Linked DNA regions of Mus musculus: region 1 is reported to be linked to region 2. Evidence: microRNA targets listed by miRTarBase, many of them from high-throughput screens and not tested one by one. Region 2 holds a microRNA gene; the other region holds the end of a gene's coding sequence.

Region 1 (4,055 bases), not on the chromosome of region 2:
CAGCCAAATTAGACCTAATTCTTTACTGAGTAATGACAAAGCATACTTATGTGGTGGAAAATAAGGCTCATCTGTAGATTACACTAAATGGTATTTGGAGATGAGAAGACCATGCACCCGGAATAAAAAAGACTCCTGATGTAGGAATTGAAGGATTCATAGCGACCCTGAAGAAGGCTTTTAACCTCACTCAGAGAACTCATAACTCCACTGACCTGTTCTTAAATGGGAAGTTTCACAAAGCATCTCTGACCACTTATGGTGACACCCGTAAGAGTCACGGATAGACTACCCAGGTCAGCCTCTCTGTGCAAGAGTGGATCCTTCGAGCTGGTGAAAGGAAGCCCTGGGGATGAGATCGCTCAATCTGAGTCAAAGGCAGCTGCTACTGCCTGATGCTTCTCTATAAACAAAAGCAATCACTTCCTAGAACAACAGCAGCCCAGTTGTTTACTCTTAGGATGGCAGGACACAATCTTCTGAGAGAAAGAGAAACCCCACAGAAGAGCCATCAATCATTGTCCCAGCCACTGGCGCAAAGCAAAATTAAAAATAAAATAAAATTAAATTAAATTAAAAAGCCCTTTCTGGATCCAAGCAAGAACTGCCTGGGAAGACAATCATCTAGAAGCTTGGCTATCACTCAGAGGATAACTACTTCTCACCTACCTCTGTAGACCAACAGCCTCACCTACCTCACGTTTACTTTTAATCACTATTTTAGTCAATGTAATCTTGGTCAATTCCAAAGCTTAGCTTGGACAAACACAAAAACACATGTGTAAATGTCTACAGATCCATGCCATCTTTTAGGACTCATATGCATGTGAAGGATGAACATTTTGCTAGTCTAAAATCAGGTATCATTCCAAGAACAACCACTGTAATGACCTATAAAGGCTGGTCCTTGAAATGAGGCTGCCATCACACACGTATTCAAGCACAGTATCTATTACTGGAAAGCAGTAAGGAAGACAAGCTTTAGAAACTTCAGACTAAATAAAGTGATGTTCGCAGTGGTAAGAATACACATCTAATGCATATGCTAAGCTATTCCTTATTTATTAGCTCTCTACACTTGACCTACAGCTATTTACACACAGATAGACACATTACGGTATACATTATGTATCTTACTATAAGTCAACAAAAAGGGGGTAAGAGGACTCTAGCATTCCAAATTATTAGGACTCAGCACTAAATAAAAGGGAGAAATTCACATAATACCTCCTATTCACTATGCTATACATACAAGGATGAGGAAGCCCACTTGGCCAATGTGTCAATGTCTGCTAACTTGCATAGGAATGTGTTCAAAGGAAATGTTAATTCCTACAACTTAATCCAAATTTGGACAACCCAATATTCTGTAACTTTCTCAAAGACTGAAAGATTATCTCAAAAAGAATTGTTTAAGAGAAGACAGCCACAAAGCACAGCTATCCATCCAAACACATGGGCAAACTCTGAGTCCACATTTGGAGAACTAACTCAACTTTCCACTCAAGAAAAGGATGGCCCCTATCTACTTGGCTCCAGGTTATAAATCTCAAAATAGAAACTAAGAGAAAAATTGTACAAGGCACTCTAAGTTCTTCAGAAATGCATGCTATTCATACAGAGATGACTTTTTCAATTTCCAGACTCAGTCCCTCAGAAACCCTCCAGAAGATAGGAAGACTGTGTGTGACAATCTGTGATCCCTAACAGCACTGGACTCATGACGTCCATCGCCTGCAAACAAGTCGATGCATTACAAAAAAAAAAAAAAAAAAAAAAAAAAAACTAAGGAAAGGTATTGTTTTGTTTTGGTTATCAGGACTGAGTTTGATTGAAAAGCTATAAAATGATCTATAAAAGTAGTAATTCTCCTTAAGTACAAGGCTTAATAAAAGTCATGCAATTTAAAAAGTTATCGGCCTAAAGAAAGTAGATACAGAATTCGCTTTCTTCATCTCTAATGGAGAAGAGGCAGTGATGAAGACATAGGACTACACACACCATCCCTAGGATTTTTCTCGAATTCCTCCTGCACTATCTTCAATAAGGAGAAACAGCCTACAAAAAAAGATCTGCTGCCCATGAATGTGGCAGTTGGATACCAAGCTAAGCTAAGGTCAATATCAAGAGTCCTCCACAAGTGTGATATCCCCCACAAGCACACTGCTAAACCCTAAAGTCCCTGTTCGTGGCAACCGAGGAACATGCTGGCCATCCTACAGAAAATCTACTCTCATCAACAGTAAGACTGCCGAGTGTTCTATGACTGACAGCCACTTCGTAATGAAACATACTCATGTGCTAACTGACTATAACAGCATAGATGTATATACACAGCAAGCCTTCAAAAAAGACAGAAATAAGGAAGAGAACTTATAAGGAATGGAATTAGACTGTTCCTCTAAAACTTAACAACGTTTCACAAACTAAGCAAGTGCCAACCCCGGCACACAAGTAGTGTTGACGCTCCTCCACGATACTGAACATCTTACAATAGGACCCATTTGGGAAGGCATTTGGCAAATAAGGAATGTTAGTAAAATGACAAAGAAGCAGCTAGAAAGCAGGTAAAAAAAAAAATGATTCATCATCTACTTAGCATTAAATATCAGTCATTGCCTGGTAGCTGATAATTCTCAAACTATATTTTAAAATATTCTTATCTGATCAATAAATGTGGGGATCATCAGCAGTATTTACTTCCCCCCTAATTAAAAGCAAAATTATAGACAGACTTGGTAGTCCGTGGAGTATGATTCAGTTTAAGTAGGAAAAAAGAGAGGGAAGAGATGGAAACCAAGTCTGCTCCCCACGGCTGCTGACATTTCCATACAAGCTGTAGTACAAAAGGACCTGCAGGAAAACGCTCTTCCTTTCTCTTGGCAAGCAGAATCCGTAGACTCGTGCTAATGACCAGCCACACACACAAAGTTGTCCTCAAGTCATTAGTACACAACACATTAGACTTTCAGGACCTAACTAATCATACAGTCTCTACAAATTCATTTTTTAACTGTAGCAGGGATTAGAGACAAAAGCCTTTATAAATGAGCAAATTTCCTTCAGCAGAGGGTCTACCAAGCCTTGGCAATGTAGACAAGACACTTTACTCACGATACCTTAGCACATGTTCTGTCCTAAGTGATACATGAGAATAATTGGTCTCTCCTTACTTTGGTACAGAAAACTCTCAAACCACATTTTTTGCACAATTCACTCTGCTCTGTTTCATGTAAGTTGAAGATTTACGTTTTCCCCATCTCTGGGAAAACAGTCTTACAAATAGATGATTTTTCTGCTAAGGAGAATTTGGCTAAAACCTTCAGCGTAAACAATGCCTGGGAGGTGCGACAGTTACATTTTTGTTTTCAAAGACCAGTATTTTCTCTTAAGTGTCTCACCGTATCCTTAAGTTCATAAGGAGAAATAAACAAACATGAAAATTCCAAGTGAACACACAGCAAAAAGTCCAATGTTTAGGATCACTTTAACTTGTGGAGTCTCTTCTAACATTTGTAAACACACAGCCTCCTCATCCATCAAGTCTCTGAGGCTCCTCTTGCTAAGGCTTTTACTCTTAAAGCCACAAAACCAGTCTATGAACTTCCAATACCGGCTTCTATTTTCCGTTTCCTTCTCTCTTTCTCTCTCACCCATGAGAGCTGCTTGCCCATTGGAATAAGCATCTACTGGTGTTTCTGCCTCTGAATGACCCATGGAAGCCACTGGGTTGCCCTCTTCTCGGCATGTCACCAGCAGATTAACGTCTTCAGGTTGCAGTCCCTTAATGCTGTCTTCAGACTTCCCGTTGGGAATAGTATGGCTGATGACTTCGCTATTCTCGCTGCACTGCAGGATGCTCTTCTCTTGCATTTTGTATGGTTCGTCTTTCTGAGAACAGCTCTCCTTTGTCACCAGGGTCTTCTTTGACCAAAAGGTAGTGGTACGAATCTGATCCTTTGTGGGAGGTGGTGTGAGAAGACTAACAATCACAGTAATGAGTCCTGTGATCCAAAATAATGCCGTAGCCACGTACATATAATGGATGTCTTTGA
Region 2 (4,068 bases):
ATACAATTGTGTGTATCTTTTTAATCACTTTCATGGGACAGCATTCAAGCATCTATGTTAGGTAAGGAAAAGGAGAACAAGGTGCTAAAATTAAGAATTATGCTTTCATAAAAAGAAAATGAGGTACACTGTGTTAATGAAAGACTAAACACAGAAACGGTTTGAGTCTTTGTTGCCCCATATCCTTACTTTTTCAACATAGTGTAGACTATCCATGTTTCACCTCATGGGTACTTTCAAAATAGAGAATGTAAAGAAAGAAGATAATCTAAAGAAAAAAAAAATAATTTCCTTCCCAGTAATTAAATAAAGTTAAAGGACTTTTATCTCTCTGATCCAGAAGTGGTAGAGATAGAAAGTGAAGGAGAGTATATATATTCCCTAAGAACTTGAGTTAAGGACTCCTGAAACTTCTTGGTAATGCAAGAGTCAGATGAGATGATATGTCTCCATTCATTTTGGTGTGTGCATTGTGATATAGGACAGATACCAGTCACTTTCTACTAACCTCTCTCAATATAAGGATACAGAAAAAAGTAAAACTTGATGAAGATGATGAGGACGATGATGAGGATGATGAGGATGATGATGATGATGATTTTGATGAAGAGGAAACTGAAGAAAAGGTCCCAGTGAAGAAATCTGTACGAGATACCCCAGCCAAAAATGCACAAAAATCAAACCAAAATGGAAAAGACTTAAAACCGTCAACACCGAGATCAAAGGGTCAAGAGTCCTTCAAAAAACAGGAAAAGACTCCTAAAACACCAAAAGGACCTAGTTCTGTAGAAGACATTAAGGCAAAAATGCAAGCAAGTATAGAAAAAGGCGGTTCTCTTCCCAAAGTGGAAGCCAAGTTCATTAATTATGTGAAGAATTGTTTCCGGATGACTGACCAGGAGGCTATTCAAGATCTCTGGCAGTGGAGGAAGTCTCTTTAAGAAAAGGGTTTAAACAGTTTAAACAGTTTGGGGTATCTCTCTCAATATAAGGATACTCATAAAGTACTGTCATTGTAAATGTAAGAACATAGATGCACATGCAAGAGTATTTTCTGATTCTAAGATCGATTGTAGCTACCTTCACAGGACATTGTTTAGGTGAAGATATAGGGGGAACCTTTCATCTAATTCCTATTTCTCATAGGTGAAAATATTTAAAATTAGGGACATAGCACTATGGAAAATAAGTTTAGTTTCATTTTAATTTTTAAGTGCTTTTTAAATTAAAATATTTTATAATTCTCCCCTTTCGTTTCTTCCCTTCAGCCACTCTAATCAACTAACCCCTTTGTTCTCTCTCTCATTCATGCCCTGCTTAGTCCATATTTTGAAAGTTTTATGTATGTTATTTCAGTGCTGACCATGGAAAAGCAGTTGGTGGGCTCTTCTCTGCTGAGTACTATTTCTCCTGAAAGCTTTTTAGTGTCAATCCCTATACACATTAATGTCAGTGAGACTTAAGTGCGTGTACACATGGTCTCTCAGAGTGAGTAATGTTCAACAAGCTCCTTACTTTGTATACCCTGGACCTTATACTTCGTCTTCAAAGGCATCCTTGAGATTGCTACCATTTTCATCATTTCTCATTTAAAGCCCCACTTTTTTAGACTTAAAAGGTGCTTAAGGTTGTACACATGCCTCAAAATGGTCAGAGAGTGCAATTATAAAAGTAATATGTTTATTATTAATGGATATTTAATATCAGCAAAATGAGATAAAAAATTGGGATCACAACATTCAGAAGGAGAAATGAAAGGTGAAGGATTTTGTCATTTCCTGGACCTGTGAATAAAGAAATCTAGTGTTCACCTATCACACTAGACTACAAGAATTGATGAAGGCTCATGAAAACTAGTATATACTGTATTTATCTTCACAGCATACATCCTCAAGGTGAATTTAGACAGGATCCTCAAATATGATGGTTATTACTACATGGTAGAGAAAAAAAGATGAAGCATCAGTCATACTGATGCAAAGCATGCAACTAGTACTTAACTTTTTGTCCAGGACACTGAAATAGGAGTGGGAGAGGGCAGTATGTTGTGTGCAGTGCTGTGTTCAGACTGGTGTCCATCATGTGAAATATTTGTGAAAGACATCATGCTGAATAGAGTAAGGCCCATGATATTCTTCATTTATTATGCCTTAATTGGTCAGAGTGGTGCAGTGCAGTTACACTTGACATGAATCCCTCATTGTAATTAGTCATATGTAACCCTCAGGATCCATATTTATCCAGAGTATAATTTTAGATGTTCAATTTTTACACAATTATAACATGTAGGTTAAAGAAAAAAATACTTAGAAGAAACTAAACCCACAATCAACAAATGATACATCTTTTATCTATGTAGATTTGAGAATCAACACTGTAAATAGAGACCAGGACATAGTATACAGTGAAGAACTAGAAACTCATAGCCTACTGTAGGAATGTTTTCTAATATATACATATAAACAGAAGTGAGTTTTCATGTTGAGTGGGGCAGAATGATTTGTGTGACATGTAGATGAAGGATCTGGGGCAGAGCATTCTCATTAAAGTTCTTGTATGCAGTGCTGTATTCAGATTGGTGCCTGTCATGTTTATAAGAATGAAAGACACCAAGCTGAGTAGAGTAGGGCTTATTGTGTTCTTCATTGCAGGTGGTATTATGTGGTCAGGGTGTTTTATCTGTAGTTACACAAAATGTAACCAGTCCTAATCTGTTACCTAAGTACAATTTTGATTCCCAGTGTTAACTTTATAGCCGCATATAGATTGGAGAATTAACACAAAGTTTGGCAGTCAACCATATAGTAGGACATAGTATGTTATGTACAAGGAATATTCCCTAAGATAGGAATAAATATGATATATGTTAAGGTTTTATACTCATTAAGGCAGATTGATAAATAGGATACTATTAGGACATGATTGAGGCCCGCCCTACATGCTAAAATTCTATACAGAGCCATATTTGCTTAAACTGTTAACCAGTTCTTCTGTGTGAGTAGAATAAGTCTAACAAGCTGTCTCATTACTTTTAGCATAGTGATTTTTGTATAAGTACAAATATCCTAGCATTTCTGATTATGGTGTTCTTTGACTTTTCTGGGCCCTAGGACACCTTCAGGGTTTTTAATGGTGTTGTTGTCACCTTCATGCTTTTTGTTGTTGTTGTTATTCAAAAATTCACATAGGTCCGATAAAATACAGAAGGAAAATTCAATTTATTTATGTGCTAAAAAACATACTTTTAAGAGCCTAAAGCACAGTCTTTAGAATAATTAGATTGTATGCTTGAGGCCCTAAGTTTGGCACGTGGTCTGGCAAGAATGAAGGAAAGGGTATTAAGCTGAGAGTGATGATCAGTTATTGGTACTCAGAGTTATTCATCTTATTGGAATGCAGGAAGAAGATGTCAAATTATATATGCAAGGTGATGTATAATGAGTTTTGCATTCCCTAGGTGTGTTCAGGGTTCAGGCATCCTTCCTGATGTCATAACTTGTACAAGTGATGAATATTATTAGAGGTTATAGAGTTGATAGAGTCAGCACTTCTACATTTGTTTTGTTTCTTTTTTTCTGAAAATGTTTAAGATATATCCTGACCACAATTTCACATCCCCCATCTTCTCTGAGATCCTCCCCACCTTCACTACCAGATTTCTTTATCTTCCTTTAGAAAAATCAGCAAGATAAATGAGTGAATAAAGAATAATTTAAAATGCCCAAGAAACACATTATACACATAAAGAGAGAGAGAGAGAGAGAGAGAGAGAGAGAGAGAGAGAGAGAGAGAGAGGAGAGACAGAGAATACCTACAAAATATAATTGAGTTCATATTGTGTTGGCTGTATAATTCTTGGCATAGAGCCTACAATTAAATGTGGTTACTATACCCAGTGAGATGAAATTGAAGAAAACAATTTTTCTTTGTAAGTAGCTGTCAATTGGAAATAATTTATTAGTTAATGATGGGAATTCATATCCATTTTCCATGCTCACTCATGGGAACATGTTTGGTTTGAACTTGTTCAGGTCCTGTGTATTCTGTCACAGTCTGGATGAGTTCATA

Evidence for each region. Region 2 holds the annotated microRNA mmu-miR-743b-3p (GAAAGACAUCAUGCUGAAUAGA, at 2,096-2,117, shown strand). A microRNA usually pairs through its seed, bases 2 to 8, with sites in the 3' UTR of a target mRNA and lowers its output. Matches are read on the target gene's strand: a 7mer-m8 pairs with bases 2 to 8, a 7mer-A1 pairs with bases 2 to 7 and ends in A, and an 8mer does both.
Region 1: miRTarBase lists Slc5a3 as a target of mmu-miR-743b-3p. Seed matches in the 3' UTR shown: 7mer-m8 at 2,350-2,356.

Annotation. Positions count from the first base shown.
Region 1 is chr16:92,078,573-92,082,627 of GRCm38, reverse strand. It overlaps Slc5a3 (solute carrier family 5 (inositol transporters), member 3), which reads right to left. Exons shown (of 2, transcript NM_017391.3): 2 at 1-4,055. The coding sequence ends at 3,415. The region is part of intron 1 of Mrps6 (mitochondrial ribosomal protein S6); the gene reads right to left. Among named protein-coding and RNA genes, the nearest start is that of Mrps6, 22 kb to the right of the region's middle.
Region 2 is chrX:66,775,315-66,779,382 of GRCm38, reverse strand. Mir743b (microRNA 743b) reads left to right here and starts at 2,051; the gene lies at 2,051-2,127. Mir743 (microRNA 743) reads left to right here and starts at 2,565; the gene lies at 2,565-2,626. It also overlaps the pseudogene Gm14681.